Tamandua tetradactyla: one gene and its partners. The protein of the gene in region 1 purifies or fractionates together with the protein of each later gene. This does not show direct contact. Links are inferred from orthologs where the notes say so. Each region holds a gene or a part of one and is shown in the gene's direction. Other genes may lie near its edges. The genes, in order: DYRK1B, PTGES3, FAM117B and DCAF7.

Region 1 (7,708 bases):
CCTAGGGTAAGGGATATGGGCTGTTGGAGAAGAGCCCAGCACTTATTTCCCCATCTCTCCCGGCCTAGGAAGGAGATGACAAAATTGAGTACCGTGCATGGAACCCCTTCCGCTCAAAACTGGCAGCAGCAATCCTGGGCGGCGTAGACCAGATCCACATTAGGCCGGGGGCCAAGGTGCTCTACCTTGGGGCTGCTTCGGGGACCACTGTCTCCCACGTCTCTGACATTGTAGGACCGGTGAGTGGGGGTGGGGGTGAGAATCTGTGACAAAATGTAAGAGTGGTGGTGAGGTGAGTGGGAAAGAAAAGATGCCTTCCTTTGCCAGCCTCGAGTCAGAGTCCTGTCTGCTTCCATTCACTGTGGCACAGAACCGGGCTCTGCCTTCTAGAAGGGGATAGGAGGCCCCTCCAAAGCTCGCTTCTGGGTTTCTGGACCTGAGGGAAAGGGGCATAGGCATTAGAGGGGCCCAGAGCTAGGAGTATCGGTATCAGACTATTTGAATTGGTTGCCCTTGTTAAAAATTCATGTCCCCAAAATCCAGGCTTCTGGTTTATCTTGAAAGAACAGGAGATCTCAGAGTTTCTGGGCCTGCATTTCAATTTATACCATCTGTAGAGGGAGGCTGTACATCTCCCTTTGTGACCCCTTTCTCGTTTATGTGATTGCTGGCTGTGTAATTTAGTAGTTACAGACCCTAGGCTCTGATGCCAGGCTCTTTGGATTCAAATCCCAGCTTAGCCATTTAACAGTGATGTCGTTTTGGACAGATTATTTATCTCTCCGGGGCTCACTTTACCCCCTGGAAAACAGACTTGTGAAAATTAGACAAGTTAATTTCTACACAGTGTTTCTGAACAGTACCTGGCATGTGGCAAATGCTTGTTAGCTGTTGTGCTTCATCATTCTGTGCCTTGGCTTCCTGTTTTTAAGCCTTTATTGAGAGCCTGGGCTCTCAGATTAGGTAACTTGGTGTTTGGAAGGCTCACTTGCTTGCTGAATAATCCTTGGTTGATAATTTCACATCCCAGGACCTCAGTTTATTAATCTATGAAGTAGACTTGATAACAATGGCTGTTAAATGATAGGATTTTGATTTGGAGGTTGGAAGAAATGCTGCATGCAGAGCGTAGGCCCATTAGTAAGTAGTGGCTCCATATGAGCACTGATACCATCACTGTTATTACTTGCCTTGTTTTAGGATGGTCTGGTCTATGCAGTTGAGTTCTCCCACCGTTCTGGCCGTGACCTCATTAACCTGGCCAAGAAGAGGACCAATATAATTCCTGTCATTGAAGATGCTCGGCACCCACACAAATACCGCATGCTCATTGGTGAGGGGCCCTGGGCGTCGGCCCAGGTAGGGTGGGATAGGCCACTCCTAGAAACAGGTTTCCTGGAAGAGCCTATCTAAGCCCTGAATCGGACTGAATTGGAATGAATGAGCAGTCCCTCAGAGTCTGTAGGAGTGAGAAGGGATGGGGGAATCAGTTGAGATTATGGAGGTGGGGGCCCCATTCCATGGTCTCAGGTGTCTGGCACCCTTGAAGAGCCAGCCTCCTCTCTTTTGAAATCTTTCCTTAGACCCCTGTGCTTCTAGCCTCCCCCCCAAAACACAGTACTTTCTACACTGCTCCTGACTTGTGTGTAGAACCCCCTCCAAGATGCTGTTCATTATCTGATGATCCTAGCCCAGGAGGCACAAACTGAGCTGGCTCTGACCCTCAGGGGGCCATTGTAGATATTTTAATGCCTGTATTTTTTTTTGTTCTCTAATTGGAAATGTAACATATGATTTTGTTTTGTAAAAAATCAAAAGCATGATGTAAAAATGGAAAGCCTTTTAAACATCCCCAGAGGTAATTGACGTAAACAATTTGATGGCTACTTGTTGTGAATTTTAAAAAGTCAGTTTTCATCATACCACCCCATGCCCGCCCCGCATGAGCAGACACCGGGAATCAAACCTGGTTCTCTGGCATGGCAGGCGAAAACTCTGCCTGCTGATCCACTGTTGTACCGCCCTACACCATCTTTTCAATTGTTAAAGTTTCCTTCCTCCCCTACCCCCACTCCTTACTCACACTGGCTTTAAACATTACTTTGTCATTCCACTTGTTTTTCTTTCTGAGTTTTTTTCCCGTATTCTCATATATATTTGTCCTGCGACTTGTTTTCATTTGACAACCCCGAAGACGTTCTTGCCTATTAGTGCTCACCTTTAGTTGCCTTTTTGATGACCTGGTTGTCTCCCCCGCCAGGCCTGGGAGCATCTTGAGGGCAGGGTCCGGGTTTGACTTGTCTCTGTGTCACCAGGGCTGGCCACAGAGTAGGTGGCAACCATGTTGGGGATGCTGTGGAGGAATGGGGGATCAGTGGGGGAAGTTGGATTGGAGGCAGGGAAACTGCCAAGCATCTGCTCATGATGGGGCACAAGCCCAAGGGGGGGAGCTGGGAAGATCTCTGGTGGGCTCGACTTCTAAACGCCACCCCTCTCTCCCTAGCAATGGTGGATGTGATCTTTGCTGACGTTGCCCAGCCAGACCAGACCCGGATCGTGGCCCTGAATGCCCACACTTTCTTGCGTAATGGAGGACACTTTGTGATTTCCATTAAGGTGGGGGACTTGATGGTGTGTAAGATGGGATGGGACTGTCCCAGGATGGCTTCTTCTCTGTCAGGGTGTGACAGCCAGCCAGGTGAAACAAGGGGGTCACCATCTTCCTTACTCCAGTCAGTCTACTCCCAGCCTCTGTCCCTACTCCAGCCCCCTACCATTTGTTCTCCAACTCCATTCATATAACACGTGATACCAAAATGTCAGCAAAACTAAAAGCTTTGGATTTAGAGATTAATATGTGGTGGTCAAATGCATGGTCACTGATCCTGACTGAATCTTAAATCCCAGTTTGCTCTGTGAGTTTGAGCAAGTTACTTAACCTCTGTGTACCTCAGTTTCTTCATTTGTAGAATGGAAATATTAGTTCTATCTCTAGGGTATACGTGAAGAATTAACATATGTGAAGTGTTCAGAACATTCTGGCATAAAATTAAATATAAGATAAATATTAGATGCATTTTTTAAACTTTGAAATACAGAGAACTTAGTCCTGTATGCTCTTCACCCAGATTGACTATTTGCCAGCCTTTTGCTACATTTGCTTTGTTATTCTTAGCTGGCTTATTACTATTACAATTTAGTAAAGAAAAAGAGGAAGAAGAAAAAACAGACAAACTCTGTTTTATATGTAAAATTTAGGGGCTGTGATTAAAGCTTCCTAGTTCAAATCCAAACGAAACTGAAAGCTTTTTTAATGAAGCATTTCCCCACATTTCTGAAACCCTGCCATAGAAGAGACAGTAATGATTGTTGTTGGCCTCTTCAGCCTGAGGGTCACTTACTTTCCAAAGAAAACAAATACTTCTGGTTTAAAGAGCACAAAAAAAGGGAAACCAGAAGTCAAAGCCTTGCTGCGGACTTAAAATCTCTCCTTCTATAGGCCAACTGCATTGACTCTACAGCCTCCGCCGAGGCCGTATTTGCCTCTGAAGTGAAAAAGATGCAACAGGAGAACATGAAGCCCCAAGAGCAGTTGACCTTAGAGCCTTACGAAAGAGACCATGCTGTGGTTGTGGGTGTGTACAGGTGAGCAGGCAGCCAGTAATCTACCAGGATAGATGTCTGTCCCTTAAACTCAGAGCTGTGTGGGTCAGTTCTTGTTGGGAATGCCCATGGTCTTGGAGATTCCCCTCATCTCCTCTCTTCCTCTCACAGGCCACCTCCTAAAGTGAAGAACTGAGTGAAGTTCACCGCTGTCAGGATTGCGAGAGATTGTGTGGTTGCTGTTGCACGTGTGTTTTTCTATTAAAAGACTCTTCTGTCACCGTTGTCTGCAGCTGATTGCTCTGCCACCGCTGTTGTCCACCTGGCGCATGCGCCCTTGGTGCTCTTGAGTGGGGGTGGAAAGTCTCATCTTGTTACATGGCGCATGCTCTGTTTTCAGCGGTCTCCTGCGCAGCCGTAATCCGGTTTTCGGCGCCTAGGCGGGGTTAGTGACTCGCTGCGCATGATTGGTAGTAGTGCCCACTAAACGCAGGCGCGGATTGCTTCCTTGGGTCACGTGAAGGGGCGGGGGTGGGGAGGCGGGGTGAGGGCGGAGTCCGGGGCGAGGGCGGAGTCTGGGGCGGGGTGGAGGGGTTGGTTTGTTGTGGTCGCCATTTTGCTGGTTGCATTACTGGGTAATCGTGGCTCTGGCTTGCTGCGTCCGCCGGATACCTTCCGCCCGTGGGCAGGTCAGAGCTCGGGCCTCCCGAGCAGTTTGAGTCCCCTTGCCTGCGCTCTCAGGTAACGAAACGAAGATGAGTGGGGTGGCATGCGCTCGCAGGGAGTGGAGGGGAGGGCGGAATTCGCCCTGGCCGCGTCGCAGCGAGAATGAGCACAAGGCCCCGGCATGGGGGTGAGGAGGGCGGGCAGGTGCAGGCCCAGCCTGGCTATTCATAGTCGGATTCCTGGAAGGGGCCAAGCCCGAGGGAGCGATCTTGGGAGGAAAGTTGGGAGGGGGTAGCCAGGCCTGGCTCCCGCCCTTTGTTTGGGCTTGGCTCCGCCGGCCGCATCGTCGTTGCCTAGCAACAGCCATCTTGGACTATGATTGGCCGAGTTCTTGGCAGCGACGACCAATTGCACGGTTGTTGCCATGGCAGGGTGCGGACTGCCAAGCTCAGTCGGGCCCCGCCCGCCGGTTCTCCGCAGGCCGGGGCGGGCCTCCAGGGTGGGGGGCGGGACGCCTGGGTCCCCAGAGGCGGGGGGCCAGTGGTGCGAGAGTTAGCTCGCCCCTCCCCCGTCCACCTGCTTGCCCTTCCCCCGCGTGCCCCGGGTTGACCCTCGTTCCCTGCTCTCCCCGCCCCCGGCGGTGGCGGTGGCGGTGGCTGCTGTTTTCACCCACCGGGCCGTCTGTCCCGCTTGCCCTCCCCGCCGCGGGGCTTGCCGGGCCGGCCGGGCTGGGGACAGACGGCCGCCTCCTCGCTGCCGCCACTGCCGCCATGCTGGCCGCTCACCCGCCCCACTGGGGGCCCCACCGCGCCCCAGCCCCCAGTGGGCTCCGCGCCAGCCCTGACCCGGGTATGGGGTGGGGGCTGAGAGAGACGGTCCTGTTGTGGGAGGGCCCTGGGTTATAGGTTGTTTTGGGGGTGAGGGGCGATCTTCCAGGGAGTGGAACTCCAAGAGTGGTGGGGCCTGGAGTGGCAAAACCTTGCTTAGGAGCAAAGAATCTGACATAGGGGGGTTGTGTGGGTGCGGGTGGAAGCCCTTGGGAGAGGGACTTTAGTGTGGTTCAGTGTTCTGAGAGAGAGAACCCTATGTGATATTTGAGGAATTTGGCTATGTGGGCCTCCTAAGAATGGGCGCGGCTGTGTAGTGACCCTGATAAAGGGGAGCTGTGGGGGAAATGTTGGGTAGTGGACGTAGGATCCAATGTAGAGGAAATAAGAAGGAAGATCACTGTAAGCCATGGGAAGAGGCTCCCCCCCCCTTGGTTCCATCAGAAATGGGCTTTGGAAGGGGAACATTGGAGTACCATGAGAAATACTGCAGATATGGCATGGGGGAATGGGGCTTTGGTTGGGAGACTACCTAGAGGGTGGTCTCTGAGGAAGGAGGACCCGATAAAGGGAAGAAATCCTGGCATGATAAATTGGGAGAACAGTGGGAGGCGGGTCCCGTAGGAAGGGTGTGCCCTGGTTAATGAGGTTGCCATAGAATAGGACTCTGGTCTGTAGGGGATCTCAGATAATCTTGGGGTGGCTGGGTGGTCCTCAGAGGAACCTGATGTGGTTTAGGGGTCCTATAGAAGACCCTGCTATGGCTTGGGGGAGGTTCCAGAGAGCTCTTGTTTCTAGGGTTCTCTGCATTTGGGGATGTGTTGGGAAGGGTAGGCCTTGAAGTAGAGGGGTCTTGGTGATAGAGGATGAGATCCTGATGTTCAGGAAGACTGCAGGAGGGTGGGATCTTAGGTGAGGGGTCCTGGGGAGAGCCACGAGTAGAAATGGGAAGAAAAGAATGAACCCTACTTCCCATGCTGCCTGTGGTTTCTATCATTTTCTTCTCTTTCCTCCCTCCAATTATTGGTGTCTTTCTGTCCTCCTTTCCTGTCATGACCCAAATCCCCTGCTCTTGCCTGCCTCTTTCTTCATCCCCTTTCATGCATCCCTGTCTTTATTCCGCCTCATTCATTTTTTTAATGATCATTTGTCGAGGTACTTTGCTTTGCCCCCCCACCTGGCTTGCCACTTCTCTTCCCTCTTTTTATTGCCACCTGTTGCACCCTTTTCCACCTCCTTCTGTGCCCCTGCTTTCTCTGTCATATCCATTTGTTCCCTGCTTGGCACTGTCCCACATATCCCCCTGTTCCATGTTGTTCCCCCGCCTCCCTGCCTGCTCTCAGGTCTCAGCGGCGGTGGCAGCCGAGGTGCAGGATGCGAGAAGGCGCCCCCCGGCCGGGCTCCCGCTCCAGGCCTCACTCCCTTGTGGCCCTCTGAGCCCACCATGGCCGTCCCACCAGGCCATGGTCCCTTCTCTGGCTTTCCAGGGCCCCAGGAGCACACGCAGGTATGCGTTCACCCAGCTCCTCATCTGCCTGGGGTCAAGGGAGGCTGGGAATAGAAGGGTTTCAGGGCCAAGAGATGGAATGTGGCTGCCCCAGACAGTATCCAGGGGTGTGAAGGGCCCCTGAGTTGTAGAAGATAACAGAAAAGGTGCTGGCAGTCAGGGTTTGGAGAGCCTGGGTTCAAATCCTGGCATGGTGATTAAATTACTAAGTTCTCTATGCTTCCGTTTTCTTATCTGTGAAATGGAGCCAATATCAAAACCTACCTCACAGAGTTGTTGTGAGGATTAAAGAAGTTAATGAAATGCATGTAAAATGCCGAGAATAGTGCCTGGTACCTAGGAAACACCTAATAATGCTTACTAAGAAAACGTTAGAGTGAAGGATCTGGAGGGAGTGGATGGAGAGGAGGGTTGAGACCTAAGGGTCTTGGGACCAACAGGGCCTGAGTGGTATAGGGTAAAGCACTCCAATGGTAGAGATGGTGGAGGTTCTAACATGTAGATCTTGAAACAGGATGGAATGGGAGGTCCAGGGTATAGGATCCAGGTTCTCAAGACCTTTCAAATGAAAGAACAGGGCAAAGATGCTTGGGGCAAGGGAGGGGGGAGCGAGGTGAGAAGCAACACCCTAAGGGATAAGGGTAAAGTGAGATGGGGGTGCATAGAGGTGGGACACCCAGAATGGAGTGGGGGCTAGGGCAGGGCTGTCTCTCCTGCTAAAAGGTTAGGAAGGTTTCCCCTATGATCTCTCCCACTGAAGTTCAGAAAGGAGTGAAGGTGTGGGTCAGAATGCTGGCTAAAGGCCCAGGGGGAAAGAGTTCCCTTATTTAGTCAACACCCATTGCTTCTGTTGAACATCCGCTACATACTAGACCCTGCTCAAGGCCCTGGAGACATAGTAAGAACAAGACAGACCTTGTAGAGTTCATTTCTAATTGGGTAGACAGAATGACCATATAAATAGGTGATTGCGTGGGGTAATAATGAGCCAGATGTCCATATGATTCTCCCCCTTGAGGTCAGACATGATGGGTCTTGCCTGTCCTCAGTGAGGCACCCCCGCCCTGCCCAGCAGGTATTGCCTGATGTGCGGCTACTGCCGCGG
Region 2 (7,339 bases), on another chromosome or scaffold:
TTCTTCTGGTTACTTCCTACCATATTCAATTGAAAGAACACTGCGACGTATTTACTTACCCATAGTTATCCGAGAACTGCAATACATTTCATGGAAACACAAAATTAAAAGAAAACTTCTCTATTACCTGATTTATTCTGATGTCAGAGATTCTTGCTAATTTACATAGATTTGGCATATCATCACTTTTTATAGTCTTTTTTTTTTATGACTTGAACTACAGGTATATAAACTATAGGGTGATATTGGGGACAGCCCACTTTTAGGTTTCAACATATTTCATTTTTAAAAGTATATGAGCTTTTTAGAGCCTTTTCCTTCCCCTAGGGTTGTCCATGCTTATACCAGCCCACAATCAGAAAGCCTGGTAGCACCAAATCAAAACTTATGTGAAAAAGCTTGACACAAGACACAGTAGTTTTGTTTGGGTGCATAGGCCAGGAATTGAACAAGACACAGTAGTTTTTAACCCTTTCCATTACTACCAAACCAGACTGATAGGTATGCTTCTAAACTCTGGGCAGAGAATCCAGAAGCTATCTGCGATGATTTTATTTAGCTAGGTCATTGTCACATCAGGTTCATTTGTTAACTTGGTCAGGTGGTGGTACCCGATTGTCTGGTCAGGCAAGTGCTGACCTGTCTGTTGCTATGAGGACATTTCATGGACTTAAATCATGATCATGTTGGCTGCATCCACAGCTGATTACATTAGCTAAGGGAGCGTCTTCTGTGATGAGTGACATTTAATTTAATCACCAGAAGGCTTTTAAGGATTCAGAAGAGACACTCTACCTGCTTCAGCCAGGGACCTTCTGCCATGCACTTCGTCCACACCCTTCATCAAGTTGCCAGCTTCACAGCCTGCCCTGCAGACTATGAACTCTTCCATTACCACAGTTGTCCAGCCAACGTCTCCTGAAAGTTCGTTGACGACTGTCATCGTAGTTGCCAGCTTGCAGCTTACCCTACAGACCTTGGATCTTTACATTCCCAAGGTTGCCCAGGCAGCCTCTCCTGAGAGTTCGCTGAGGACCTTCATCAGAGTTGCCAGCTTATAGCCCTACAGACCTTGGATTCTACATTCCCAAGGCTATGTGAAACACTTTTATCAATTTCATATCTACAGATATCTCCTACTGATTCTGTTTCTCTACAGAACCCTAGCTAATACAGTCATGATGTCTCCTTTAAGCTTCATGGCCAATTTCCTTTTTCCTATATCCAAAAGAGATTCTTACCACTTTACCCCTTTCCCCTTTATATGACATATATAGATAACTTCCAAGGTCTTATTAGAAAATTCATACAACTAGACTGTGTTCATTATCTGATTTAATTTTTAAAATGTTTAATTGCTCATGTCAACATACAAAATTCTCTTTTGCTACTAGTGACTCTGGGCACATATTTAAATTCAGTTCTTAGAAAAATATCACAGAGAACTTGCTATGATAATTGACAAAATGTCTCTGCAATCCTTTGGCATATGTATTTTTTTAACTGACCTGACAATTTCTTCTCTTAGGAGACTGTTAGGATTAAATTTATGAGGTGGCATCTACTACTCACCACGTATTTTCTAGTTTCTGTTAATCCAGGTTGCAGATTTATTAAACACCCTGACACTGTAACTATACATGTTTGAATCTACATTTTGCCCCATACTAGAAATAGAACTATTAGTGAATTTGAAAATGAACCTGGTATAACTCAGGTCCCCACCTACTAATGGTTGGGATAACATCTAAGGGCTTGAATAAGCCTAATTACAAAGTATTTGTGAAACTTCTGGTAGAAAAGCTATTTCCAGAAGAACACTAAAATAAAACCCCTTGAAATATGTTTAGTGAGGAATAACTAAGGAAGTAAATAAACTAATGGGGGAGGGGAATAGCTGTAAATGAACCATGAATTAGGATACAAAAAAAAAAAAGGTAGTTTTCCCCGTAGCACTCTCTACCCTGTCTTTTGACAAGGGAAATTGCCAGAAATTTGGGTTGGAGTCTTCTATCTCTAATTCAGTTCTTTCATTTTCAGTTCATCTTATACTTTGTTACCAATTAATCTTTACAAATCTAGGACACAAGAGTGCTGCTCCCCGACTCAAAGAAACTTTAATAGCTTCCAAATGTGAGAGAGACAAGTTGCAATTATCCCGATATTCAGCATCACCATTATTTGGTTCTGACTATCTTCTTAACCATATCCTGAACTATTCCCTTACATTCTCAACTACCTAGGTCAGGGTTCTGCAAATTACAACCTGTACACGAAATCTAACACATTCACCAGATTTTTTATGTGCAGAATCTTAGTCTGTGAGCTAACAATGGTGTTTACATTTTTAATTGGTTGAAAAAAATTAAAATATCTTCTGATGTGAAAATTATAAGAAATTCAAATTTCAGTACCTTTAAATACTTTTATTGGAACATAACCATCCTTGTTTGTTTACATATTGTCTGTTTGTCTCATGCTGTAATAGCAGAGTTCAGAAGGTGCAACAAAAACAGCCAGCATGATTTCATCTGGCCATTTACAGAAAAAGTTTGCTGACCACTGACTTAGAAATACTTCTGTTTCTGTCTCTTCACCAATATTCCTGCCTGAATATACTAATCCGACTTATTCCTGCTGTCACCTCTATGAGGCTGTCAAAATAGAATTTTCAAAAAACTAAAAAACACGATTCTCTCACAAACATATAATTAACATAAACCAAATATCTCACTCACGAATGGAACCAGTAAAATGGCAAATAACATTTGGTTATTCACAGGCATAAAAATGAAAGAATTAGAATAAGATTGCTGGGTCAAACAAACCCGCTTAGTGTCCTTCAGAGCAATAAAACTGTAACTTTGGGATTAGTCTTCCAATAAAAAATCTACAAGTTAGTATGTAACTTCACGATGTCTGAGTTCTAATTATATAATAAATAGCAAAGACAAACATAGGTTCGTTCTCCTGTCTCCTGATAGACAGGTTAAACAATGTCCCAGTGTAAACTGAAAGGCTATCCCTCGGTGCAATGCCTTATTTCCAGGTTCTGGGTAATTTTTCTGAACAAAACCTACCCTCATTCTTCCAGCCCAAATAGACCTCTCCTCCTTTCAAGCTCCCATACTTTTTGTATTTCCATTATGGTATTCAATAATCATTATTTTGTCTTTCGAACAGGCAGCAGGCCCCTGAATCAGAGTAACAGCTGGGATTTAATCGCCCTTTAAAATGAAACTAGATAGGGTTCTATGTCCACAGTTCATGATATCTATCTTGCACAAATATAGACATCAAATATCTTATTGCTGAATATGAAACCCCCAAACACTCCCTCTGGACATCTTACAGCACTTTTCTTAAAACTCCTTTGGGTGCTCAGTAGCGGTGTATCGCTTTTGTTTCCCCCTCATTCTACCGTTTAAGTGTCCTCCTAGTGGGCAGGGCCCATTCTGATCTCTTGGTTAGCCCCCATTAGAGCACAACCCAGTGCCTGGCACAAAGCAGTTGCCCAAGAGATAACGGTTGAAGCAGACTGAAAGCCTCCCACCCCAAATTCACACACACACTGATGTGTCTGAAGTCTCTCCATTCTCTGACACCTGGCTAAACTCTCCCCTCAAACAACCTGTCTGGCCTATTAGTATCTCAAGAATAACCAATCCCCCCTTTCACGTCACAAGCCTCCAGAAAAATCTTCGTCCCTCGGCCTCAGCTTTCCTTCCACTATCCAACACAGCCGTTTCTCAGGGGAAGACGCCCAAGGAACAACGCCGAGTGCCTATAAACCCAACGGTTTTCTACCGGAGCGCGGAACAAGAGGCGGGAAGAAGCCGGCGCAGGCCGGAAAAGGGCGAAGGGCGGCGCCAGCCTCGGGAAAGATCGCGAAGGAGCTGGGAAGCTCCGCCCTTTCCGTAGATATCTCTAGAAAGCCGCGCGGGAGCCCGAAAACAAGGACTGCGCACGCGCGGCGGCAGGGCCCGGGCATTTTGCTGCGTCACCAGCCGCCGCCTGGCCTCACCACCCCTCGTTCTCACGCACGCACGTTCGTTCTCCGTCCTCGCGCCCCTTTTCTTACGCTTTCCTCTTCTCTCCGAGCCGCGGAGCCGCTCTCTCTGCGCGGTGCATTCTGGGGACCCAGGCCGAGCCCGCCGCCTGTGCCGTCGCCTGAGGGAAGCGTGAAGAGGCCACGACCGGGGAGAAAGCGCCGGAGTCGCGGCCGGAGAGGAGTCGACTCCCAGCAACTGCCGCCGGAGAGGCCCGCCCCCTGACCCGTTCACAATGTGAGTGCGCTATCCCATCGTGGGGAAGTCGGCCTTAGGGAGACCGAGGCCGCTCTGGGGACTCCTGGGCTGTGGGGAAACCTTGCCCTCCCCACCCCTCCCCCCGCCTTCGGCGCTCTCCGTTTTCTCTTTTCACTGGTGGCGGTTGTTACTATCTGGTGGTGGGAGGTCTGTGGTCTTGTTCGGTTACCGTTGGTGGACGGAGGACATTTTTCCTCCACATACCCGCTTCCCTCACCTCTAAACTGTCCCTCGTTTTCCCCATGCCGGAAATCCCGCTTTTCCCCCTTTGGTGGTCTGAGTTATGCGTAACCGTTCATAACTCGTCCTAACTTAGCTTTAGGCCTTAGGCCTTAATCTCCTTTGAGCCTTTTGCCATGCGGGCGCCTTGGAGGCATTTGACCCTCGTGGATTGCCACTTCGGTTCTCCGTCAGTCTGGTTCTGCCACTCTGTGTTGGGACCAGGCCCTGGGCCAAGTGCACCTGTGGTGGGTGCCACCAGAAGACTGATGGTGCAAGATCCTAGAGCCTTACGCGGCCCAAGGCCGTGAGCGACAGTTACTGCTAGGCAACGAGAGGGAGGCCATGCCGTCACCACAACTTTTTTTTTTTACCCTCTGAAGTGCCTTGATTTCTTGAGTATAGGTCCTTTCAGGCCTCTAAACTCAAGTATCTTGAAGGAAATGAAGGCTGCTAAAGCTCAGTCGTGTCCTGGCACCGAGGAGTTACCACTGAACAGGTAGTTTTGCACGTGTCGAACCTAGAGATACTTGTGGACATTGTGTTCCATATTAAACTGTAGGTGAGGTATCATTCATCTTAATTTAGAATAAAATAGGTACATAACTGTCTTGTGGTCTTAAGGTGTTCAAATTCTGTTTATGAGGAGGATTCTGTTGCCATCTTTTTCTTTTATGGTAAAGGAAAACTTTGGTGATCTTAACGTAATAAAAGCTCTTGACCTTTCCACCTTAAATCTATGTAAAATAGGTTTTGCTTATCCCTTTGAAATTTCTAAATAATTGTCAATATGGACTGTAGAGTACTAGTAGTGCTAAAGTTAATGTGGACTTTTTTTTTCTATCTTAATTGGATTCAGGGGGATATATTAACTGCTCAAAATGTTTATGTAATTGACAGCTGTAGGCTTTATATTCTTGTTGAAATCGTCCCATTACTCCCTTTTAAGTTTCCCCATTTGATAGTTGTTAGGTAAAGAGATTTTTTCATTTAATACTTTGAAAGTCTCTACTCTGAAAGTAGAAGAAAAAATGAATTGTCAGATAAAGCAGTACCAACTTTTAATGTGTATTAGAGCAATGTAGAGTATTAATATAGGGGAAGTACCATGTTTGAAATAGAAACACTTTTCGGAGGTCACTTTTTGGAGGTTAAAATAGGTAAGAAATGTTAAACTATGTAAAGGGTAAAATTGGGATGCCAAGTGTAGCAATCAGTATTCCAAAAAGCAGTCTGACTATATTTAAAGAATGCTGCCTTTAAAGTGAATTTTCTGTGAAGAAACCAGATAAATCTCATCCTCTTTTAAAATGTTAGACATGTGCTGTCTTGTAAATTCTTCAGGGGATCTTAAGAAAATCTGAGTCATTTATTTGAGTTGGAGAAGACTTTTAATGGATCATTTAGTCCTAGGAAAAATTGGCTGATAAGGGTTCCTCTTGGTGATGTCTATTTAAAACATTGTTTTAATGCTGCTTTTCTGTTGATTTGTTTTTTGTGCTGGATGTCTTGAAGGTTTGGGGTTGTGTTTTTTTCAAGTTTGGAAACTCTGTTAGTGATTTCTTAGTTAAATTTGTCTAGTAGCCTACATAGAAGTTTCCATCTCTCTCCTACCTTGGAGAAGGCTGGGATCTTAAGACCTCCTTACCCATTTAAAACCTCCCCAAAGCTAAACTTGCGCTGTGGTACTTTGCATTCTCTTTTAAATTAGCTATTATAGTTGGTTGCTATTGGATCCTAACAAGAGAAGAAAGTAAAATATTTTATTTAGTTTTATTTGAGGTATTTGAAGGGTCATTCTTTCTGTGCCTTGTTGAAATCATCCCATTAATTTATTATTTAAATTAATAAATTTTTGGAAACATAAAATGACCATCTTGAACATTGATTTAAAATCTTACTTTGCTGTTCCTTAGCTTTGTAGGTTTGAATCTCCAAAGATATCAAACCTCCAAAGCAAATTGTCATAGTGAGCATATGGTTTACCACTAATTTCTATTTAAAATGAGTAATTGGTAAGTTAGGGAAGATGATAGCCTTTGTTCAGTGTTGATTTTCTAACCACTGTAACCTGGCAGCTGAATTTCCTTTTTTTTTATTATGCTCAGTTAGCCTTTAACTAGAAGGCATTAGAAATCACTTGAGTTTAGGCTAGTATTATATTCGAAATTTAGAGTTTCCTATTAAATTATTCTCGGTTTAAAAATTCTGAGGCTATATCATTTTGGGGTCTTATGTGGTTAATGATTGTGCCCTTCAGGGATGGGAGGTGCTTTTTTTATTGAGATATATTTACAAACCATCTGAAGTATACAATTACTGGCTCACAGTATCATCACATAGTTGTGCATACTAGAACATTCTCATTACTTCAGAAAAAAAATAAAAAGAAAACCCAAACCGTCCCATATTCCTTATTCACCCCTATTGATCCTTAGTTTTTGATATAGTATATTTGTTATTGTTGGTGAAAGAATATTAAACCATTACTATTAACTGTAGTCATAGTTTTCAGTAGGTACGTATTTTCCCATAAATCTCCTCTGTTAGCTCTTTATAATAATGTCATACATTTGTTCTAGTCCATGAAAGAATGGTTTTGTATTTGTACAGTTAATCACTGGCGTTGTCCACCACAGGATTCAGTGTGTTAAACATTCCCATGTTTTAACCTCCAGCTTTCCTTCTGGTGACATTTGGGAGATGCTTTTTTAATACCAGTTAGAATCAACTTAGCTCTTAAAAAACTTCAGATCATATTTTATCTGAGTTCTTAAATTGAGAATTGTTGCATCTGGTGTATTTTGCTGTTG
Region 3 (7,973 bases), on another chromosome or scaffold:
CATGAAGTCCTCATAATGAGAGTGTGGGGTATTTGGGAAAATTAAATAAGCTGGAGCCTAGAGAAGAAGAAGTGGCAGGGGTGTGTCTGTGGAAGGTATGATAAGTCATATGGTTTGGACTTTTGTCCTAAGAGAAATGGAAAGCTTGAAGCAGTTAAGTGATAAGGTTTGTGTTTTTAAAAGACAACTAGAGATGTTGGGGGAGTGGGTTACGGGTGTGGAGTGGGGAGTCTGAAGAGGTGGAGTGAGGCAGAGATGATCTTGGGAGACTGGTTGGGTGTTAAGAGAGCAGGCCAGAGATGATAGCAGCTTGGCTAGAGGAGATGATAGGTCTGCAGAGCAGTGATGGATTCACAGGAAATTTAGGAATTAGAGTAGAGAGTAGATAAATTATGGTAATCCAATGGGCTTGGTGTGAGGAGGGAAGAGACAGACTTCCAGGGTTTTGATTTAGACCACCAAGTTGGTGGTGCCATTTACTGAGATGAAGAAAAACTGAAAGAGGAGCCAGATGGTGGTAGTGGGTGGGTGGTGAGAAGACAGTGAATTCAATTGTGGACAAGGTTTGAGGCACCTGTGAGATATACAAGAGACTAAGCAGGCAGTTGTATAGTTGTCAGTGTGATGATCAGTAGAATTTGACACTCATAAATGAAGCTATCAGAATAGGGAGTGAGTGGAGAGAGACAGGCTTCGCTAGGGTCCTGAGGTACTACCACCATTTATGGGTCAGACTGAGAAGAAGCCAGCAAAAGTGACGGAGGAGTAGTTAGAGATGGAATAGGAACATCTGGGAATGTGTGGTGCTATGTAAAGTCTTAAAGAAATGGTTTTATATGAAAGTCTCAGTGAAGTAGCAGTCACATTTTAAATAGAGAACAATATAAATTCTGATAATTTCCCCCTTTTATTAGGAAACCATGTATCAACATTTCTTGGAAAATAACCCCCCAAAATTTTACTTAAAAATGAATATATTCTTTTCATTTCAGTATTTTACCTTCCAATATTTGTTTATAGCTTCTAAGTGTTTTTGCATGTCACTGTTTTAGTTTGCTAAAGCTGCCAGAATCCAACATGCCAGAAATGGATTGGCTTTTAATAAAGGGATTTATATAATTACAAATTTATAGTTCTTCAGAGGAAAGGCAGCTAACTTTCATCTGAGTTTCGATCACATGGGAAGGCACACAGTGATGTCTACTAGCCTTACCAGTTCGTCTGGCTTCTGGGTTCCAATGGCTTTCCCGGGGATGATTCCTTTCTGTATCTCCAAACATCTGGGCTGAGTTGGGAGTGCTTAGTTGAGGTATGCTGAACTGAGCTCTCCTCTGACCTCTTTTAAACCTTCAGCTAATCAAACTAAACCTCACTCATTGTGGAAGGTACTTTCCCCAGCTGACTGCAAATGTAATCAGCCATAGACGAATTTCACACGCTGAGGATTTAGGGCTAGAGAAACAGAACAACAGGGCATCATCACTTGGCCAAGTTTATACCTGAACCTAACTACCAAGTCACATTTATAATAGATACATAATTTTGATTTTTCTTGTTTAAAAGTGAAAGTAATTTATGATTTCATGATTATCATTTTAGCAGTGATATAATGTTCCATGCAGTACTATTTTAGAAATTTTTTGATGGATATGCCTGGTTCTATTAAAACTACAGAAGGAGATTAAAAGCTATAGGAAGGTAAACTTTTTTGCAGAACCTATCATCCTTTTACATAACAATATGATTTTAAAGAGTTAAAAAAGCACATGAGCAAATTAGCCTACCAATAATATTGCCTTTGGGAATTTAAATATAGACAAACCAATTCCAATACATTGCTTCTGGTCTACAACTTCTTCATAGGTCACATTTCAACCTTGGAAAGAAAATGGAAAATTTGCATTATATCCTAAGAAAAGCAGAATTAAATTAGAGGAAGACATTTATTTCGTTGATCCTTGAATTACAAGGACTCTCTTCATAGATAACCTACCAAACTGAAGACTAATTCATCATCTTATTGTACATTATTTGCTTTGAATTTTTAACAACAGTTGAAGTCAAGGGTAAATATTAATGATGCTTTTATACATTGCTATCGGATTTTCAAAAGAGATGAGTTCTAAGATATACAAGTCATTTTTTTAAAGCATTCTTTGATGGTTTCATACTTTCAAAGCTTTTATTTGCAAGTCTTCACAAACATCCTTCAGTAAAAGGGGGGCTGAAATGGTTAATATGTGCTTCAGGTGCAGTGCTCTCATTTGTTTAAAGTTAAGCCCTAACCGACTAGGGAGGTAAGCTGTCAAGATGAAAAAGAGGTATATTTTGGAGATGAACCATTTGAGTTTCTGCAGGAAACATGGCTAAAAGCAAAAGGTGAACTGGCTCCACAAGAACTCATAATTGAGCCAAGCACATTTAACTCTTCACCTCAATGAACTTTTTCTGCTAAAATAAGTTCTTTAGGTTAGAAGACCTAAAAGTCTCTGGATATCAACAAATAAGTCTCTAGTTTGGCAACACCAAAAGCAGTTACGTGAGCTAGGTCACCAGGACTACAAGACTTCCTTCAGTTTAATTCAGTAAATACGTATTGAGATCTTACTTTCTGCAGGGGAAAGTGTAAGATACAGTTTCCATGACACCCTATTTAAAATCTTATCTTTCCTCCTACCCATTGTTTTAAAAGCAGATTTAGCTCTCTGCACGGATCTTGTCCGCAGTTTCCTGCATGTGGTCTGCCAAGTAAGAAGCTTTTTTTTCCTTCATTCTAGCTTGAGGGGAACAGGTAGTCATGTCAGGTGTATTTAGAGCACTAGCCACTTAAGGCAGGTTCCTAGACTAAGGCTTGGGGCTCTCCCTGTGGTGGGGGAGAAGGGAGGATAAAGGGGAATGGCTGGTAAGGAAAGATGTGGGCCTCTGAATCACATCTGAAAGTTTTGAGTACTGTTCCAGTTTGCTAGCTGCTGGAATGCAATATACCAGAAACAGAATGGCTTTAAAAAAGAGGAATTTAATAAGTTGCTAGTTTACAGTTCTAAGGCCAAGAAAATGTCCCAGTTAAAACAAGTCTATAGAAATGTCCAATCTAAGGCATCCAGGGAAAGACACCCTGGTTCAAGAAGGCCGATGAAGTTCAGGGTTTCTCTCTCCAGTGGAAGGGCACATGGCGAACACAGTCAGGGTTCCTCTCTCATCCGGAAGGGCACATGGGAAACACAGTGTCATCTGCTAGCTTCCTCTCCTGGCTTCCTGTTTCTTGAAGCTACCTGGGAGGCATTTTCCTTCTTCATCTCCAAAAGTCGCTGGCTGGTGGACTGTGCTTCTCTTGGCTAGGTTGTTCTGCTCTGCTCTCTCTGAATTGCTCTCATTCTCCAAAATGTTTCCTCTTTTATAGGACTTCAGAAACTAATCAAGACCCACCCAAATGGGTGGAGACACACCTCCATCTAATCTAATTTATCAACCACTCTTGATTAAATCACATCTCCAGGGAGATGATCTAATTACAGTTTCAAACATACAATATTGAATTGGGATTAGAAGAAATGGCTGCCTTTACAAAATGGGATTAGGATTAAAACATGGCTTTTCTAGGGTACATACATCATTTCAAACCAGCACAAGCACCATCTACACACCCTATTTTCATTTGACCCTTCATTAATAATCATAATTGTAAGAAGGAAATGGCATTAATTGCATTCTACAGATAAGGAAACTGGCTCACGATCTGCTCAAGGAGTAGTAAGAAGTGGATATGGGATCTGCATCTCCTTTCTAGGGTTGTAAAGCCTTTCCACCACGGTGCAAAGGGATCCAGAATAATTTTCAAGTCCAGACTGAGTCATATTGTGTTCTCCTCTACCACATTTTTACAAGGTGAAATCTATCTAGAATGTTTATCTAATAAAATATTTAAGGGAAAAGAGGCCCCAGAAAGACAATCTGCAGTTGGGGAAGTGAGTGGGTGAGGTGCAGTCCCATTATTCTTTCTGTCTTAATGAGGAGTTCTTTAGGTCACTTTAGAACTAGTGTTACTGCCTGCCTTTCGGAGTGCTTGCCCATACTACAAAGACCTATTTTCTTGACTAGATAAACACATGGGTGGATGGCCCACTTCTATCTCAGATAATCATTGTGAAGATAAAATAGGACCCTTTGCAGACTATAGCACTTTACATACGTAGCAGACCTCTTTCCAAGATGGCAGGGAACTGACACAGCTGATTAAATTCTTGATTACTTGAGATGTAACAGGGTAGAAATGGCATTTGGTAACTGGACGCCATAGATACAGTCTGAAATCGCATTCTAACCAGTAATTTGAACTCGAGATATGGTTCTTTGTAGGGCAAAAAAAAAAAATAAAAGTTTGTGTGTGTGTGTGTAAAATGCCAGCAATATAAATTAAATTTCATCTTCCTTTGAGCCCTGTCCATACGTTTATGGAATTACTACAGAGCAAATACATCAGGAAAAAAGGCCAGAGATGCGCGTATACGGCCCCTGCCAATTAATACTGTGGTAAAGAAATGAGTTATGCGGCAACGACTTCAGACTATCTATCCCTGGGGACCGCTCAGGTTCTAGACATTCATTTTGGCAACATTCCAGAGTCTGAGTCCCCAGGGCTCCCCCCAGTGGGAAGGGAAAGACGCGCGTGGCAAGGCGCGAGTACGTGTACACTCACATGTACACATACTCACGCGCGCGTACGCTACACTTACACACGGTGTGTGTTCTTCACTCCCCCCCCCCCGGGGGGCGGGCCTCTTTCTCTTTAAAGAGCAGACGGTGTTCAAGCAAACCCGAGCTCTCTAAGGCCCCGAGGGCCCAGGACCCAAGCCGCTGTCAGCCAATAGGCGCGGTCGAGTGGCTCGAGCGCGGCTGACGCTACGCCAATGGGAGGCTGCGGGGGGCGGGGGCAGCGGAGGAGACACTATTGTCGATGAGGAGGAGCGGCGGCGGCTGCTGCTGCACCACCTCGTTGCTGCCGGCCGCGGCTCCGGCACCCCCCGTATCCCCCGCACCCCGGATTCCAGCTTCGTCACCCCGTCGCAGGGGCCTTCCCTTCGGTCCTCATCCTCGAGAATTCTCTCCCCTGCAACACCACTACAACAACTACCTCCCCACCCCCCCCCGTCTCGCCCAGTCACCAGGGAGGGGGGACCATGTCCCAGCGGGTGAGGCGCAATGGGTCCCCCACGCCAGCCGGCTCCCTCGGGAGCGGCGCGGGCTCCACGGCCGGGGGAGCCGGGAGCCGCCTGCAGCCCATGAGGGCGACGGTTCCGTTCCAGCTGAAACAGCAGCAGCAGCAACATGGCAGCCCCACGCGGAACAACGGCGGCGGCAGCGGCGGCAACAACAACGGTGGCTGCTATGGTGGCGCCTCAGGCCCTTCAAGCAGCGGCGGCGGTGGGGGCCCACGCACCGCTTCGCGGAGCACAAGTCCCACGCGCGGTACCGGGAGCGCAGCGGCTCGCACCAGCCCCACGGTGGCCACACAGACGGGCGCATCCGCGACTTCCACACGGGGCACCAGCCCCACGCGCAGCGCCGCACCCGGGGCTCGCGGGAGCCCTCCTCGGCCGCAGCCGCCACCGCCGCCGACGCTACTGGGCACCGTATCGTCGCCTTCCTCGTCGCCCACCCACCTGTGGACCGGTGAGGTGAGCGTGGCCCCACCCCCAGCCCGCGTCCGCCACCGGAGGAAGTCCCCGGAGCAGAGCCGAAGCTCCCCGGAGAGGAGGAGCCCGAGCGCTCCGGTTTGCAAAGCAGGTACGTGCTTGGGGCCGCGCGACGAGGGGGAGCGGTCGGCGGGAAGGGGTCCCGGATGCCCCGGGCTTCCGCGCCGGGACTGCGGCGCTGCCGCTGTGCCCGTACGGCCGGGGGCGGGGCCGGGGGCGGGATGTACGGCCGGGTGGTGCGGCCCCGCCTCCCTCAGGGTCCGCGTGGTGCCAGGTAGCTGTGCGCGGCGGCCCTAGCTCATCGCAGTCGGTTCCGCGCTGCGTCCCCAGCAGTGGAGCTGCTGCCGCGTACCTTGTACTTGGCTGGATATGTGTTAATTATAAACCTGAGATTCTGTCGGTCTTGTCTGCCCTCTGGTTACTGCTTACTCTTCCTTCCTTTTTCTCTACCGCATGTTGGGGGTGGGTTAGGAGTGGCTTGTTTTTTGTTTTGGTTAGTGTTTGTATAGCACATATCTGCTGCTTCGTGTTTCTTTTTCATAAAACGGTTTCACGTATGGAGGGCTGAATGCATTAGTGTGGCAGATTGGGAGCAAGGAACCGAGGTGAGAGAGAGAACGTTTTAGCATTTCTTAAGACTCGGTAAATGCAAGAAGTGAGAAGGAAGTTAAGCAACATTCCTTTGGAAGGTTTGTGGGTTTTGTTTGGGGTTTCGTAGTATATTTGACATATTTATTTTGTGTGCTCAGGATTTAAAACCATTTATCCGAATTTATATTTAAAAAAACATTCCGAAGTTTGTTTCCTTGTGTGATTATTTTTAGGGACCTAAACGTTGTTTTTTTGTACTTTTTGTATGTTTCTCTGTGTGCCTGGGGGTTTTCTTGGGAAAGGTCCAGAATGGAGCTGTTGGGTTCCAATGGAGTTATTCATAAAGAAGAGTATCTCAAAAGAGAATTTAATAGACTGTGGGAGGTGGAAAGGGTTAAAAGTTATCATCTGGTTGCCTTCCTATCAGAATCTAATTAAAAAGAGAGAAATGGGTAGATTTTTAGTTATGATTTAACACACCTTGCCTTTTTCTGTCTTGGAAATTCCTGTTAGAATCTTCCAAGTCGAATGGCTAGGAAGTTCAGGAAACTTAGTACAGTACTTTCTGACTAAATAAATTGGACAAGTTGTTTCAGGAGTTTCAGAAATGGAAGGAGTAGGCCGTCTGTCTTACTATTTTATAAAGATGTTAGACATCAAATCCTTTTTTTTTGTGCTAAGAACTAGCCCTGAGAATGATCAATAGCGTTTTCTAATTAGAATAAGAGATATTGTCTTTAATCTTTTCAGAATGCAAAATATGTTTTTAATTTATGAAAAGCCCTAGAACCTCTCCTCCCCATAATGCTACCTAGCTATTGCTTATTGAGCTCCTACATGGCAGGTGATTTTCATAAAAGATCTCTATCTGGTAATAGCCTTTAGAGAGGTGAAGTAACAAGTGACAGAGTTGAGATTTGAATTCTATTCTGTGGTACTCCGAAGACCAACTATTTTACATTACATAAAAGGGGGGAGAGTTTTATGCTATATAGGATTGACTCTGGGAATTGTATTGTACACCAGAACTACATGTGCTTAGTTTTTTTTTTTTTTTTTTTACATGGGCAGGCACCGGGAATTGAACCCAGGTCCTTGGGCATGGCAGGCAAGCACTCTTACCTGCTGAGCCACCGTGGTCCACCCTGTGCTTAGTTTTTTATGTTGGTTTTTTTTTAAGGGAATTTTTTTTTATTGTGAAAAATAACATATATACAAAAAAGTAATAAATTTCAAAGCACCCCACAGTGGTTAGTTGAGGAACAGATTTCAGAATTCGGTGTGGATTATAATTCCACAATTTTAGATTTTTACTTCTAGCTGCTCCAAGACACTGGAGACTGAAAGAAATATCAGTCTAATGATTCAGCAGTCATACTCATTTGTTAAGTCCCATCCTCTCTGTTAAAACTCCACCTTCTCCTTTGATCTTTCTCCCAATCTTTAGGGGTATTTGGGCTATGCCCATTCTAACTTTTTCGTGTAGGAAAGGGCTATTATTAATACGGGATAGGGGGATGGAACTAGTTGATGTTTGGGAGGCTGGCCCCTGTGGGTTTCAAGACTTTACTAGCTTAGAAACCCATCTGGAGGTTGTAGGTTTCTGGAAAGTAATCACAGTACATGGAACCTTTGTAGATCTCAGATAAAGCCCTAGGTGTTCTTTAGAGTTGGCAGGAATGGTTTTAG
Region 4 (7,085 bases), on another chromosome or scaffold:
AGGTGGGTGCCTTGCAGGCCAGGGCATGGAGTGGTTACAGAGGGTGGGCCCGGAAACGGGCTGGGCATGGGTGCTCCCTTCTGTGACTTAGGGACTTCACTGAGTGCCTGGCTGACAACTGTGCCAGCCTTGCTTTTTTAGGATGGTGAGCCCTATTTAGCTACAGTTCTCCCCATTCTCTGAGTGTCCCAAAGCACAATGCCAAAGACATCATTATGAGGACTGAAGAAGGATGTATGCGTGGCGCCTCGTCATTATTATTATGGGAATCAGGGAGGTGCTTAGGGGTATTGGGGCAGGGGCTTCGGATCCTAGTGGGGAAAGGGTTTTAGTTACCATGCTACACAAAACTGAGATCTGTCCTCAGGACCTGAACTGCTCTCACCAACCCTGACCCTGACTATGGGGTTCTGTCTGGCAGGCTGGAGTTCCAGATGACCTCAGACCTTAGGCGCATCCTACAGCTCCTTCAGCAGCCCCCGCCCCAGGGCCGCACCCACTCCATCCAGGGAGCCCCTGCCTCCATTGACCTGCCATTGTTTCCTGTGACCTCAGCAGCTCAGAGTCCCTGGCCCAGGCAACCCTAGGACGGCCTGCCGCCTGCACAGGTGAGCAGGTGAGGGGATATCTAGGAGCTTGCCTGGAGCTGTTGCATGCCGCCTCCCCCAGCATGGCTTCAGACCCAGGGCCTCGGTGACCCAGAGCAGCTGTGGCTTCTACTGTCCTCTTTGGTTTGAGTCATGACAGGGCAGTGTGGAAGGGTGGTGGCAAAGCCCAGATTGTGACCTCCTGGCTGGGACAAGGGTGGCAGGTGCCTGAGGTTAGGAGGAGCAAGCATAGTTTCTGCCAATTCCCACCCCTGAAGTCAGGGTGGATGAACCTGTAGCCTGGCCTGGGGGCTGCCCCTCTGCATGCCTCCAATCATTTCTTGCCCCTCCTAGACCTCAAGCTGTAGAGACTTGGACAAATGTCCACTGAAGAGCAGGAATTGCTCCTCCAGGATGCATCATCTGCTTGTGGCAGTGGGCAAAGCTCTGGCACCATCCTCGAAACAGGAGAAGCCTGAGGGGCTCCTGTCACCTCTGGCCTCACCTCTGTGTCCCCCAGGGGTTCAGGGGCCCATCTGTGGTCCTCGCTTCCCCTCCCTCCCTGAATCCCTTGGCTCTGTCCCTAAGCAGCTGGCGTTCCAGAGATATGGCTCAGATCCTGGATTTGCAGGAAGTTAGAGCCCCTGAATTCCAAGATAAAAGACATTCTGAAAGGATGAAAGTGGGTGGGGTGAGTGTCAAGGATCCTAGGGGAGGCAGACAGCCCCAAAATGCTGTCTGAAATGGGCCTCTGAAAATCATTCTCCCGGAGTAACTTCAAACTGCTAACTTGCGTGACCCAGGTGGCGTGGGTGAAAAGACTTGGGATTTTTCCAGCCACCCCCAGGGTTCTGTTTAAACAGCACACCTGGTGGAGGAGTGGGTGCCTCTGGTATGGAGTAGCTTAGAGGACTAAGGAGTCAAGGAAGTAAAGAGAAGTTTCTGTTTTCTATGGGATCACTTCTTGGCTCAGACCCAGCCCGACCTCATGGCCCAGGACCCAGCACCCATGGTTGAGGGTCAGTCAGACCTCCTGCTGAAAGCCTTTGACTTGGCTGAAGATGATGGCCTCCTCTTTGGTTGACCTGCCAAGGCACAGAGCTCCAGTCCACCCCTGACAGTTCTGTGATAACCTTGGGGCCCATGTAGGTAGTAGAGTGTCGCAAAGTAAGCAGCAAACACAAGTCTGTATATTTCATGTTGGCTCAGGTGTATAATCAGGTCCTCAATAGCTGTGGTCTTCTCCAAGCCCTTCTCACATGCAGGTGGGAGCTTGTCCTTCACATCCACTGTTGGAAACCTGAAAGGTGGCTCCTCTGGACCCAGGAGCCCCCAGAGCATGGGCTCTTAGCCAGGCCAGGGAGAAGGGAAGCAGGGAGGTGCTGACTTGGTGGCTGTCAGGAATCATGCCAACTGCCATACACACACATAGCCGTCATCCTGTGCTGGCAGCACGCTGCCCACTTTGAAGACTGTTCATCTAAACTTCACAACAACCCTATGGGGTTGGTATTATTACCTCTATTTTAGACATGTGGAATCAAAAGCAGAGTAAGACTAAGAAACTTACCCAAGCATGGTGGGAACTCCCAGGGGGCTGGTCGTGTTCTGTTTCCTGATCTGGATGCTGGTTACATTCTGTTTATGTTGTGAACAAATGTGCACTTCTATGTGTAAATTCTAATTTGGTTAAAAAAAAAAAAAAAGACAAAAAAATTTTTTTTAAGTAAAAAGAATCTTGCCCAACACAGTAGGAGGATATAATTTCAAACCAGTCTCTGGCTTGAGAACCTGTGCAGTTAAGCACTGCACTGAAATAGGCTCTTCTGTCATTTTTGCTCAAGTACCCCCTAAAGGAAATTTGAACATTTGTATCCCTCCCTAATGCATTTTTAAATTGACAGCTGAACTATTTCACTGATAAGTTTAAATCGTTGCAAAAGATGTGATTCCCACTGTCTTGTAAATATTGACACTTTATAAAATTGTTTTGTCCCTTATTTATACTGACTCGTGATCCAGATAGCATAGTGATTTGAAAGCCATCGTTATCCACAAGAACAAGCCCTTCTTTAACATTCCTTTTTCTCTTTTTACTCATAATTCCACTACTTTCCCTGTTTTACTCTACATGCATTTCATGTTCATGTTTCAAAGACTATTATTAATCACCCTACAACATCTGTTTGCAGCACAAACAGGAGTATAAATTGAACGTTTAAAATTAATTTTTTGAAACGTTGCTAAAGCTTTAGGAGTTACATTTATTCTTAGTATAAAGTTGTTCAAAACAAGATAAATATATATTCACATTTTAATAAAAACTAAAAATTTTGAAATGCATTCCTTAAAGAGATTGAAAGGGAATTTCCCCCCCAATTAGGTCATATATCTGTGGATGAATATCATTACTTTTTATTAGAATAGGGTAAGCCTCAGCAACAGTTTTGTTGGTATTTTTCTTTCTTTTTTCCCTAAACTTCAGTGCAGAAAAAAACTTTTTCACATAAATAAGTGGCTAGGACTAGAAGGGGGTTGTTACAGCACTGTTACTCAATTCTTTTAATTTTTTCCGAGTTGTATAATAATCACATTTATCATTAAAAATGGTATTTAATGATATGATCTAACAAGTCAATGCAATCTTCCTTCATTTTTGTTGAAAGCAAAGAATTGGAAACCATTTAAATTATAAAAAGATGTTACCCAGATTTTCATTTTCTCCATTTCAAAGTCACGGCACTGATACATTTCGGGCTCGGTTAGCATTTGCCTCGGGATCCCGTGGGGGGAAAAGATGGGATGGGATGGGATGGGACGGTACCCGAAATGAACCTGGAGCCAAGCTGGTCGTGCAGCTGTCTACTGAAGACCAACGAGAAATCCGAGCATATCTGGAATCGCAGGAGAGCGCGGGAAGGTCTGCAACAGGCGGGTCCGAGGCCCGTCCTATGGGCATGGGAGAATAGCTGTCCGGGTTAAAAGGGGCGTTGGAAGCATGCGAAGCGGGGGTGAGGGAGTGTTCCCGTTCCGTGCGGGTCAGGTTGCCAAGCCGCCGGGCTCAGTGCCGCGAATGCAACAGGCAGAGTTTAAATTTTACTCGACAGCGTGGAAAGGCCGCTTAGAGTAACTGCAACAGCGGGTAGGTCACAGCAGGTCACACAAGAAGTTTCACGCTCAAAGACTTGGCCTAGAACTTGGAGGGCCGCCTGCCTGACAGGCTTGCCTCTCTACCCCACGCCCCATTCACCCGCACTGCGCTGTTATCCCTCTGATTGACATCTTTGTCAGCCAATGACCTTTGTGGCTAACAAAGCGCCTGCCCCCAGGAATTAGGCGGGACGAGAAGTTGGAATGGCACGCATTTACGCCAATAGAAAGGAGGCTTCAAAAGCTACGGTCATAATAACCAATGAAACGAAGGAATGGTTCGAAAGGACGTGTCAGGCAGCCAAAGGCCGGAGCCGTTGTGGTGGTCCCGTGGCTTCCGTTCGGAGGGGGCGGGGCCGCGTCCCAAACGGAAGGTGGTTGTTGTCGGTACCCTAGCAGGTTTGAAAGTGGGGGTCGGGCCCGGCTGCCTTTTCTCTCGTTGCGCCCCCGCCCCGCCTCCCTTCGGACCCTTAAGTCCCAGGCCCGGCTCCCAGCCCTTCTTACTCCTCGCCGGCTGCGGTTAGCTGCCGACCCGGCCCTCACTGCGGCCCTGCCGCCGCCACCATGTCCCTACACGGCAAACGGAAGGAGATCTACAAGTATGAAGCGCCCTGGACCGTCTACGCCATGAACTGGAGCGTGCGGCCCGACAAGCGCTTTCGCCTGGCGCTGGGCAGTTTCGTGGAGGAATACAACAACAAGGTGGGCCGGGCAGGGCTCGGAACCCAGCTGGCGGGGAGCGGGCCCCGGGAGCGCCCTTACGGAACTGGAGCCCAGACCCCAGAATCCCCCTGCGGACTGGCCTTAGCGCCATGGAGCCGTTCCTACGTATCTGGCCCTGTGCTGAGGGTTTCTCTTTTTTTTTTAATTGTGGCAGCACTCGTGTAATCGGAAGTGTCGTTATCCCCATATGACTGATGGGGAAACCGAGGCACAGTGTTGTGACTCGTCAGGCCAGACAGCTGTTTCGTGACGGAAGCAGGTCTCAAACCTGAGTTTACACGAGCTACGCCATTTATCCCTCCCCTCCCCTCCCCTCCCCTCCCCACCGCTCCCCTCCCCTCTCCACCCCTCCCCTCCTGCCGCAGTGCTTCAGTTGGGGGGCGGGGGAGGGAACAGGGAGTGATGGCTGTGAGGGAAATGCCAGCGCTTCGGTTGGTGGTCGTTCTTTCCTGGCCACACTAGATTTCCCTTTAGGGCTTAGGGCTGTTTTTTGCACAGGCTGCCTCACCTCCACCCCCAGGTACTGTTGATGATTCCCAGCCCTTCTGCCGCTAGTGCCATCGGTATTGCCGCCTGATAACCGTCCACTCTAAAGTGATCTCTTTTTGAAAGTATTGGCGCATGGCAACGGACCTTCCGTTGTTTCCTAAGGAAGGATGATGCTTTTTATAATGTTATTTTGGCTCCTTTCATGCGAATACAGATGTGTAACCTTGAGTAGTCTTTTTGGATATCCACCAATTTGAGAAGCCTTCATAGAAGCTTTGGTAGGAGAGGAAGCTTTTACGTTGGCAGTGAAGCATGCATTTAGTTTTGAAAGTTGTTGACTAAGTCGGGGGGGAACTATTCTTTCCTTTACCCCTTGATCTCCTTTTATTATATTTGAGTAAATGTTGTGATTGATAGTGATCAAGAACAACCGAAAGCTTTGACTGGTGATGTTTAAAGCCAATACTCCCGTTTAAACCATGATAACAGACTTAGGAAGAATAAAATTGGACAGTGAAAAGCATGGTGCAGGGAATAAAAAGCCAGATGGTCTAAGGTTGAATCCTGTCGGTACATTGCCCAGCTGGGGGTATTGCACAGTTGAGTTCTATTTTGACCCACAGTGTGCTGTAGGAAAGGGGTTCCTTATTACATGTCAAAAGCCTGTAAAAAGTATTTGAGAATATTGTTTCTTTTGTTTTTCAGGAATATTGTTTCTTTTGTTTTTCAGGATCACGAGTTACTCTAGAGTATGTCTTAATTTTTTTTTTGTAGTACCCTTTGAGAAATTGATTAAAGCAATGGACTTGCATTGCCTACATTGCATGTAAAAACAATTTACGGACAAACCCTAGGAAGTATGCACTGATGTTCAAGTCCACCCATTGCCCACAGACAACAGAGTCCTGCGCAAGACATAGCTTTATCTTCTTTTCTCTGATGCCGTTTATTCCTTATGGCTGATCCATAGTGGACAACAGAGGTTGAAATGGATTTTGGGACCCTGATGTGGAAACCGTGTTAGTAAAATTAAGGCCAGTAGAACTACTGTTTAAGGACGCATGTTGGAAAAAAAAAAAGTAAAATATGTTTTTCAAAGGTCTGGAGTCTTCTCAAACAAGACTTTTCTTACTCTTTGCACATTTTTTCCAGGGTCGGTCTGATAAAAATAGTAGTCCCATTTCTAAGATAGGGGAAACTGAGGCACAGGCTGTCATGGAATCTGTGGAGCAGTTAGTGTCAAACCTCAGTGGCAGAAACTCTGTCCCAAGTTTGTCCTTTCCTTCAGAAACCGTATGGTTCTCCTCCTTTGTACTGAGCACACACGATAGTGAAATGCAAACTAATAATTCTAGTAGTAACAGATTAAATGAATACTTGCGTCTTAATTTGCTTGCATGATGTAGTCAGTGCAGAATCTTAAAACTATTTTCATGTCTCCACCTCTCCATAGGTTATGGCTTTTAACTTTAGTATGTGTGCTATGTACACCTTTGGCAGTCTGCAGTCTATAGATCCTTTCTCAAAAATTTTTTTTTCAAATCCATAAATTTATAGGAGTACCCAAAAAAATAGTTATATTTAACTACAGTTACCAAAACATTTTTTTAAAGTGGTGATGTAGTAATATGTACTACATCAGGTCATTTAACAATAACTAGTATAATTATAACTGTAATTTTGAAATAGCAAAGAGGGTAAACAGCATTTCAAGATAGGCTTAAAACTAATGTGAAGTGAAAAAAATCAGTGACTTCTATTGGTGACAAAGTCACAGATACTGCTAATGCTGTATCTCCCTCCATCCCTTATTGAAGGAAATGCTAAATTTCAGCTGAAGGTTAGTGAAAATGGGAATATGTTTCCAATTGAAGTTCGTGGACATCAGGGGGAACCCCTAGAGGGTGGTAGGCAGTAAATCCCACTTTAAAGCAGTGGTTCAGATACTAAGTTTTTGAGAACCCTTTCCACAAAAGTGGAAGACTTCATAATTTAGAGTAATTAAAAAGTTATTGGTTAGAATTTTCAGATCTTTGGTTCCTGCTTACCACAGATAGTGACTGCTAGCAGAAGACAAAATCAGTGGACACCTCGCAGATTAATATTGATGAAAAAGCTCAGAAATGGCTTTTTTTT

Evidence for each region.
Region 2: the proteins of DYRK1B (region 1) and PTGES3 purify together in Homo sapiens (affinity purification with mass spectrometry; 3 studies listed by BioGRID and IntAct, with this or other methods). This does not show direct contact. The link is inferred for Tamandua tetradactyla from reciprocal best matches to the Homo sapiens genes DYRK1B and PTGES3.
Region 3: the proteins of DYRK1B (region 1) and FAM117B purify together in Homo sapiens (affinity purification with mass spectrometry; 3 studies listed by BioGRID and IntAct, counting the BioPlex papers as one, with this or other methods). This does not show direct contact. The link is inferred for Tamandua tetradactyla from reciprocal best matches to the Homo sapiens genes DYRK1B and FAM117B.
Region 4: the proteins of DYRK1B (region 1) and DCAF7 purify together in Homo sapiens (affinity purification with mass spectrometry; 10 studies listed by BioGRID and IntAct, counting the BioPlex papers as one, with this or other methods). This does not show direct contact. The link is inferred for Tamandua tetradactyla from reciprocal best matches to the Homo sapiens genes DYRK1B and DCAF7.

What each region holds. Positions count from the first base shown.
Region 1 is NC_135342.1:24,182,152-24,189,859, forward strand, and holds the start of DYRK1B (dual specificity tyrosine-phosphorylation-regulated kinase 1B), read left to right. Parts: upstream 1-4,708; 5' UTR 4,709-5,039; coding exon 5,040-5,118; intron 5,119-6,439; coding exon 6,440-6,603; intron 6,604-7,675; coding exon 7,676-7,708. Other genes in the region: FBL (rRNA 2'-O-methyltransferase fibrillarin), read left to right, coding at 69-239, 1,201-1,333, 2,504-2,616, 3,500-3,645, 3,775-3,799.
Region 2 is NC_135333.1:123,760,016-123,767,354, reverse strand, and holds the start of PTGES3 (prostaglandin E synthase 3), read left to right. Parts: upstream 1-4,332; 5' UTR 4,333-4,969; coding exon 4,970-5,025; intron 5,026-7,339. UniProt on the Homo sapiens protein: Cytosolic prostaglandin synthase that catalyzes the oxidoreduction of prostaglandin endoperoxide H2 (PGH2) to prostaglandin E2 (PGE2).
Region 3 is NC_135329.1:177,411,490-177,419,462, forward strand, and holds the start of FAM117B (protein FAM117B), read left to right. Parts: upstream 1-4,961; 5' UTR 4,962-5,177; coding exon 5,178-5,784; intron 5,785-7,973.
Region 4 is NC_135332.1:4,679,026-4,686,110, forward strand, and holds the start of DCAF7 (DDB1- and CUL4-associated factor 7), read left to right. Parts: upstream 1-4,079; 5' UTR 4,080-4,301; coding exon 4,302-4,439; intron 4,440-7,085. UniProt on the Homo sapiens protein: Involved in craniofacial development. Acts upstream of the EDN1 pathway and is required for formation of the upper jaw equivalent, the palatoquadrate. The activity required for EDN1 pathway function differs between the first and second arches.